Rattus norvegicus: one gene and its partner. The protein of the gene in region 1 interacts with the protein of each later gene in a pairwise test. Links are inferred from orthologs where the notes say so. Each region holds a gene or a part of one and is shown in the gene's direction. Other genes may lie near its edges.

The links. The genes of interacting proteins can lie anywhere in the genome.
Region 2: the proteins of Dnajb11 (region 1) and Ubr1 interact in a two-hybrid assay, tested with the Homo sapiens proteins (2 studies listed by BioGRID and IntAct). The link is inferred for Rattus norvegicus from reciprocal best matches to the Homo sapiens genes DNAJB11 and UBR1.

What each region holds. Positions count from the first base shown.
Region 1 is NC_086029.1:91,659,204-91,662,935, reverse strand, and holds part of Dnajb11 (dnaJ homolog subfamily B member 11 precursor), read left to right. Parts: intron 1-681; coding exon 682-814; intron 815-2,658; coding exon 2,659-2,801; intron 2,802-3,076; coding exon 3,077-3,159; intron 3,160-3,371; coding exon 3,372-3,429; intron 3,430-3,732. UniProt on the Homo sapiens protein: As a co-chaperone for HSPA5 it is required for proper folding, trafficking or degradation of proteins.
Region 2 is NC_086021.1:128,372,549-128,377,097, reverse strand, and holds the start of Ubr1 (E3 ubiquitin-protein ligase UBR1), read left to right. Parts: upstream 1-1,625; coding exon 1,626-1,706; intron 1,707-4,549. UniProt on the Homo sapiens protein: E3 ubiquitin-protein ligase which is a component of the N-end rule pathway. Recognizes and binds proteins bearing specific N-terminal residues that are destabilizing according to the N-end rule, leading to their ubiquitination and subsequent degradation.

The sequences.
Region 1 (3,732 bases):
CAAGGTTTCTGTAGAGTGGTAGCTTCTTCGTCAAGGCCTGCACTCTCTAAAGAGCAGACGTAGTGAACACTCACAATACGTTCAGATGTTCAAAATTAACCTTAAGGAATCTCTTAAATTAGGCCGGGCATGCTGTTCACACCCTTAATTCTAGGCAGAGGCAGGTAGATCTCTGAGTTTGAGGCCAGACTGGTCTACAGAGTGAGTTCCAGGACAGCTAGGGCTATGCACAGAGAAATCCTGTCTAGACAAACAAACAACAAAGAGCAAACAAAAGGAATTCCTTACATTAACCAAAAAGTTTAAATTGCACCAGATTATTTATATTAATTATATTAATTATATTCTATCCTTTTTCAATATGTCTGTCATATCTGGATTTTCATTGGTATTTGAGTGGATTATCCCATTGATTGAGTCCAGATTGAGTCCTTTGACGTATTACACTGTGCACTTAGGTGTGGCTCTTGGGTGTGCAACATGTTGTATTACAGAGAGCATTTCTTTTGAGGTGGGCAGCAACCTGATATATGTAAATTAAAATTGTTATATCTAGATTCAGTATATTAAATATCTGGTCTGTGTAGTACACTGGTAGGAACAGTATTTTACCAAGGGGAAGAGAGTCAACTGTGCGACAGGGTCCGAGCCCTCTGTCCTGACGGTCTCCTGTGTGCACAGCTTCTTCGGAGATTTTGGGTTCATGTTTGGAGGAGCCCCTCGTCAGCAGGACAGGAATATTCCAAGAGGAAGTGACATCATCGTAGATCTAGAAGTCACCTTGGAAGAAGTGTACGCAGGGAACTTTGTGGAAGTAAGTTCGCACAATGCACCTACGCACACTGACCCACAGAACTTGTACTTTTGACCACAAATCAGAGACTTTCCAGTACTTTTTGTCTTTTAGAGTAGGAGAGGGAGTGACTGGCACACAGTTAATTCTTCAGAATCCTTAGTTCATAGCAGTCACAAACCAAACTGCCTAGCCTGAGGATGCAGTGAAGCAGTACCATGCCTGTGCCTGCCTGTGTGCTTTTCACTGCCCTGGCTCACCACTGCTGTCTGGTGTGTTGCAGCACTGCACATGCATGAACCTGAACGATGTGTTCTTGCTGTCGCCTTTGAGTTTGTAAAAATGGCACCTCGTATTTTGAGAGACGTTTGTCTCTGTGAGTCATCCTTGCTGCCTACAGCTGTCAGTCTGCTGAGTAGACGTCACTGTGACGTCAGTGGGGTTGTGTTCTTTTAACTCCCGAAGAGTCCTGTATGTGAACATTCCTGTACATATTGTAATTACACATGAAGTGTGAAAGTAGAATTGTTGGGTGTGCTGACACGTTTATGCATTACACAAAAATGCCACAGTGTGTTTGAAATTGTCCAAGCCAACAGTCAACATGTTTGCCCCACCCCTGTCCGTATGGGATATTCCCTGCTCCCTCTTAATTAGAATTACAGATGGGTCTAGATGTTTTCTGTATCTTGGTTGCACTTCTTAATCTCTGACTGGGCTAAGCATCTCTTTTGTTGGCCCTGTTTGTTTGTTGTGAGATGCTCCATCACCGTGCGCCCTGCTTTGTCTCTCTCATGTTGATTTGTGAGACTGCTTCATATTTGCTCTTAAGTCTCTGAGCCACGATGCAGATGTAGCTATCCATTTATGATATAACTTGTTTTACACGGTATTTAGAATTTTAATTAGTACAAGTGTTCATTTTAATGTGAAAAAATCTGATCTTTAATGATTAATTTTTGAGTCTTACATTTTAAAAGTCTGCTCTAAATGAAGAAGCTGTTCTGTGTTCTCTAGTAAAAGGTGGCTTTCTTTCACCTGCGGTTGTCTTCTGTGACATTTGTCATGGACTTTGCAGCTAGACTGCATGCTTTCAAACCATGTGGTCTCCCTTAACCGAATGTGCCGAGAGGAGTAAGAGCCCCTACAGAGCTGCGATTAGATGTGTGCACGACTAGTGGGTGTAAGCACCACTGTGGGCGGCTTCTCCAGACGCTTAGTCATTTACGCCATGAACACAGTGCCCTGAGAATACACAAATATAAGAATGTGGTGCTTTTTAAAAGCTGTATTTTAGTTTTAATTTTGTGTATATCTATAGGTGTGGGCACAGGAGTGCAGATGTTCAAGGCATCAGATGTAGACAGTGGAAATCGAACTCAATCCTCTCCACCTTTTGGTTTTGTTTTTTGAGATGAGGATAACATAGCCCAGACTGGCCACAAATTCACTGTGTAGCTGAGGACGTGTCTATGAATGTGTTTGGATGGTGACAGCACTGGGGATTACTCCTGGGCTGGGTTGCCTAAAACAGAAAGAGGGGGTCTAGGGAGATTGCTCATAGAACTGGGAGGTAGCCACACAGCAGCTTTTGAATGCCATGGCTGTTCTGGGGGTTGGGGGTTGTGCTGTGTATAGCTCAGACTTCTCAACATAGCAATCCTGTGAGCTGCTTTAACTCAGCGGCCCTGCTATGTCTTGGAAATGCTGATACTAATATCTGGTTTTAGTCTCTTCCCCTCTCTCCTCTCCTACAGCTTCAGACTGAGATCAGAGTCATTTCAATACCCACTTGCTGCCACCCTGTGTGGGCCTTGGTTTGTACCCCAGAGAGGAAAACTAAAGGCTGTTTCATGTGTTCTTAGGTAGTTAGAAACAAGCCCGTAGCCAGGCAGGCTCCTGGCAAACGGAAATGCAACTGTCGGCAGGAGATGCGAACCACACAGCTGGGACCAGGGCGCTTCCAAATGACCCAGGAAGTGGTTTGTGACGAGTGCCCTAATGTCAAGTAAGTGAAAGGCCCTCGGCGTGTGTCTTGTGTCTACTTGTGACAGATGCTTCCCTCCAGCTCTGACCCCGAGTACACGCCCTGATATCTGTGTGATGCAGAGACGCTCTGCTCTCAGTGTTAGCATCTGAACGCTCTGAGCAAGCCCAGGCAGCCTTGGCAAGCAGCACAGTGGGCTGTCCAAGAAAAGCCTCCCTGGGAGCACAGTGCAGAGCTGATGGTACCTGGGCTTCCGCTGCTGTGTTCTAGCCCCTTTTAAATTCCCTTTGTCACAGACTAGTGAATGAAGAACGAACACTAGAAGTGGAAATAGAGCCTGGGGTGAGAGATGGCATGGAGTACCCCTTTATTGGAGAAGGTGAGATGCTGGTGTGGATTATGATAACTCTTGCCTTATCCCTTAAATATATGGCTGCATGTTATTGGGGGGGGAGTGAAGGCATTGCCTTCCCAGACAGACTTAACAGAGACACTGCCTGAGGCAACGGATTTAAAAGTCACTCGAAGTGTCAGGTAAAAACTGAGTTCAGATTGTGTAATTTCCGTTTCTTCTTGGACTGCCCTGACCAGGTGAGCCTCATGTGGATGGGGAACCCGGAGACTTACGGTTCCGAATCAAAGTTGTCAAGTGAGTATCAGCTGGGAGAGACTCCCAGCTTTGCGTTTTGCTTGAGCGATCACAGGACTAATGAACGAGTCCTCGCTTTGTCTTCTGTTTTATGCTTACAGTACCATAGGCATTGTTTCTAACTCTGCAGCAGTACTGAAAATAGGAGGTGATGCGCTGGCCTTGAACCCCAGATATTTACCGAGGACTTAAAAATGCAAAAGATGCTGGCAGGAAAGACTGGGTGAAAACGGAAGAGCAAATGGGCACTGTACAATGCTTGGAAAAGGCAGGCACAGCCCTGGGGCTGGGCCCTGGCACTGT
Region 2 (4,549 bases), on another chromosome or scaffold:
ACGGTCACCTGATTTTTACCCAACAGTGTCTCGTCTCAAGATAGAAAGAACAATCCAACAACAGTGTTTCTCAAACTTTATTTTCTCAGGATCACTTTAAATGCCTTAAAACTATTGGGCCCCTCCCCAAGAATCTTTTGCATATATGGTTTCTATCGATATTTACTGATTATAATTTAAGATGGAGAAAATTTTTAATTAGCTTAAAAGTTTCTATGCAGGGCTTCATGTAACCCAACAAGTTCCGCTCTTTGTTGTTTTGGGTCAGGGCCTCATTCTCAGCTAGACTGATCCGGACCTATATAGTTCTGCTGCTTCCAACTTGGAACAACCCTCATATCTCAGCCTCTCCAACGCTAGCTAGCGTTGCAGTTGTAAACCAGCCATGCCCGCTTTACAAGCATTTAAACAGCATAACATTTTATACATTCCTTTTCTATTTTTGAGATGGGGTCTCACCATGTAGTTCCCGAGTAGACTAGGCTGGCCTTGAATTCAGAGATCCACCTGCCTCTGCTTTTGGAGTGCTTAAAGGTATGTGCCATTATACCAGGCACAAACAACATTTAAAATGAAAATTAACTCTGTAAACAAATATTATCCAAAATGTTAGAATGGTTAATTTTCACAAATTTCTTAAGTTGCAATTTAATAGAAAATGGGTGTGTTGTAGTTCTGCCTCTATCTATAGTCAGTCATGTGTCGTTTTGGCTGGAGTATGCGAAGAAAATTTGACCTTACAGATCTCTTTAAAAAAACAAAAACCAAAAAACAACAAAAACAACTACCATGGCAGACGAGATGGTGGAGAACCAACCTCCTCAAATTGTCCTTTGACCTCCAAACATGAATCGTGGCACACACACACACACACACACACACACACACACACACGTATACACACACGTCACTAAAATTTAAAAAAAATTTTTTTTTAAATTTAAAAAGGAGCCAGGTGGCTGACATCTGTCACTTGGAATGCCTATGTGGGAGAAATGTGTGGAATTGGAGGCTATTATTCGGTTCGTAAAAACCAAACCAAACCAACCAAACAACAACAAAAAAATAAACCCAAGAACATATGACACTAAATTAGCTCTTTATCACCTTTGTCCTCCAACCCTGGTCTTAGCCTTGGAGGCTTTCTCCTGGCTCAGAGCTATGCCTTCGCACAATGCATAGTTGCACAAATGCAAAAATTGTAGTCTGTGGCAGCGTTTTCCCCTCGATGTTTCCGTATATCTATACCTTGTTCTTTTCAGGCGGAATTCCGTAACGGGGTTGTATTCAGTTTGTCTTCCCTTACGGATAAATGGATTAGGTTTCTGGGTTTTGTCATCTCACCACGCCTACCCCGGGGTTAAGGGATAAAGACAGAGCAGTGAGGACTTCCCTCAGGGATCAGCCCCGGGAAAGCAGGACTACCCATCAGGGGCGGAAACCTCCGGCTTGGCAGGTTGGAAGCCTGCTTCCGGGAAGCCGACCGGAAGCCGCTCAGGGTGCTGCGACAAACCTGACTTCAGGGGCCGTCGTAAAAGTGTCGTCTCTGGCGCGTCGGGTCGGCCACAGGTTTCCGCTAGCTGGCAGCCTGGGATCGGGAACTGCGGGCGTTCGTTTCCCTTAAGATGGCGGACGAAGAGATGGACGGCGCCGAGAGGATGGACGTCAGCCCGGAGCCTCCCCTGGCCCCTCAGCCGCCCGCATCCGTGAGTCTTCTTCGGCTAGCGCCTTTTGTCCTCTCCACCAGCAGCTTCCCACCGCGCCTGGGAGGGTTTGGGGCTCCGCTTTCTATGGCGGCGCTGGGGAAGGGGAGTCCTAGGATTGAAGGACCGACCCTGCCTCCCCCCATAAAGTTAGTCGTCTCCTGCACGCATTCCTGCCAGACAAATCTACGGAGTTTAATGACTGTCATCTATTAAGTCTCAACGTACTCAGACAAGCATGTCTCTATTTTGAAGTGGAAAGAACTCGTGGAAATTTAGGTGGTTTGCTCTAGGAGCTGAGGTGAGGCTAGAGAAGGCCATTTTTCGGTAGACGCATTGCTGACTCCTCTTGTTGATAGGAATTGGGACCAGCACTTGGTGTGATATAGCATTTGTCGGCTGGATTTGATAGAGGCAATGAGTGTTGCGGCTGTCAAGTCATGTCCAGATATCCATTATTGTAGCGTCTTGAGAACCTTAGACCTGGCCCCCACTGAGGGAAATTTGTCATTTGTCATGCCTTTTACATGTAAGAAGGGACTTTTCAAGGGAGAGAATGCTGGAATCTATACTTGGCTCTTAGCTTTTGAAAGAAGAAGAAAGGGGAGGTAGAATAAAATTAAGTCAATAGTCTGGCTGCAGGGAGAATACTAACAGAGTAGGCTAAAAGGTGAAGTAATGTTCACAAATGTTCTGATGTGGTCCCTTCAGATAACTAGCAGGGAGGGAGACACTTGTGAAGTACTCCCTACTGATCACGACACGTTTTATCAGTTTGTCTATAGCTGCATATGGAAAAGTGTAGGAAACACACCCACACAAACCCATTGTATATTCACGTACCTGTTAGTGAAGTTGTTTGTAGTTTTTAATAAACTCATTCTTGGCTTACTTTATCCTGGTAGACTCTAGAACATTATTTTATGAGACAAGAGAATGACTCAGAAATAAGCCAACCACAGGGACAAGAGAAAATGTCTGTAAGATAAAAACCCAGTAGGGACAGGGTCGGAATAAGAATATGTACTAGATCAGCTCTTGGCAGTCTTCTTCCTCCTTCCCCAAAAGTAGCTGAAACTCACTTCACTGTTGGTAGTGAAGCACAGATGAAAATAGTTAGAAAATGGTTCCAAGTGGCTAAACTGGTTTTTGTTTATTGTTGTTTTTGTTTTTGTGTTCTAGTGCTGGGGAGAAAACTCAAGGCCTTATGCATGCTAGGCAAGGGCTCTTCTGAGCTATAGGTTAAGGAAGAAGGATCATTTACTTGCTTTTCAGGAGTCAGGCAAACCCTGGGCTAGACAGTGAAACTCCATCTAAAAACAAAAATAGAAAAAAAGATTCACTTGTATGCGTGTGATCTAGTATGTTATAGTCCGAAGACTTGTAGTTCCCTATTGCCAAAGATGAGTAATGTTTATTTAAATCTTTGCTATATTAATTCTTTCCCACTAGCACTGCAAAACCATAGTAATAAAACCATAAAACATTCATTAATTTGGAATTGGAAATAATGGCATAGAAATTGAACAGGAGGGGTTGGGGATTTAGCTCAGTGGTAGAGCGCTTACCTAGCAAGTGCAAGGCCCTGGGTTCGGTCCCCAGCTTGGGGGTTGGGGGGTGAAGAAATTCAACAGGAATCTGTAACACTCCTTCAAAGAATAATTTATTTTTGTGGGGGCACAGCTTTTTAAACTTAACAAAGAAGCAAGGAGTGGTGTCATGTAGCCTCAGCGAACTCGGTCTTGTGATATAGATAATATAAATGATGAATTTAGATTCAAGATAGGGTGGTGTAAGTGGACACAGACCTATGACTGTGAAGCCTTTTAGTTTTTTTTGGCTTAAGTCCCAAGTCTTTTTGCTTGACCCCAGAGTTCATCCTACTTCCTGTACTTTTTCTGGCTGCCCTTTTCCATTTCATTCTCTCTATTTAAAACCTTGTAGTTAAGCCAGAATCGCTCAGCTTGAGTCTTCAGCACCCCACCGATGTTTGTTTAACTTGTATCTCAAATCACTGCTGGGCCTTGTGGAAACAAAGTAACAAATATAGGACAGCTACAAGCTGTAATAAAGATTTCTGTTCTCATTAGAGTGCCTTTCTAGTTACAGTTGCTGATTTCTTTAAACTAAGTTTCTTTTTCTTTAGATACAAGGTTGGTTTAGTAACCTGTCAGCAAAGTCTAGCATCAAGTAACAAGTAGAATGAAATGATAGGGCTGGAAGGATGGCTCAGAGCTGCTTCCTGCACAAGCTTGGTACCTTAATTTGATCATTAGAACCAATGAAACTGTGGAAGGAGAGAACCAACTCTACAATTATGCCCTCTGACTTCCACATTCATGCTGTCGCACATGTACCCATCTGCTCACCCACAATAATAGTAATAATTTAAAAATATTAGAATGAGATAATGATGGAGAGTTATTGGGCATTTTTACAAGACATTGTTTAAGATTCACCAAGATAAAAAATAGAGTTTAAAAAAATGTATCAAGAGAGTTGATTCTTGGACCATAAAAATCCAAGAGGTCCAAGCAGCTACATATTCACAAAAATGCCTTATTAAGCTAGCCACTTGGAAGTTACCAGTTTAGAATTGATGGTTGAGGCTATAGAAATGAATATCTTTAAGGTCAAGTTGTGTGCATATACACACACAGAAACCACCCAGCTGAGAAAATAAGAGTGAGACAATGTCTGGGATGTAGTTTTTAAGAAAGAGTAGTTTATTGGATCCATGACAAGGACTGAGAAAATTGGAAATCCAGAGGGCATTGGGTGGTCTGCCGGAACATCTGCTTTCTTTGACTGGTTTCCCGCCTAAATTCCTTCTTGTAAGAGGAAGG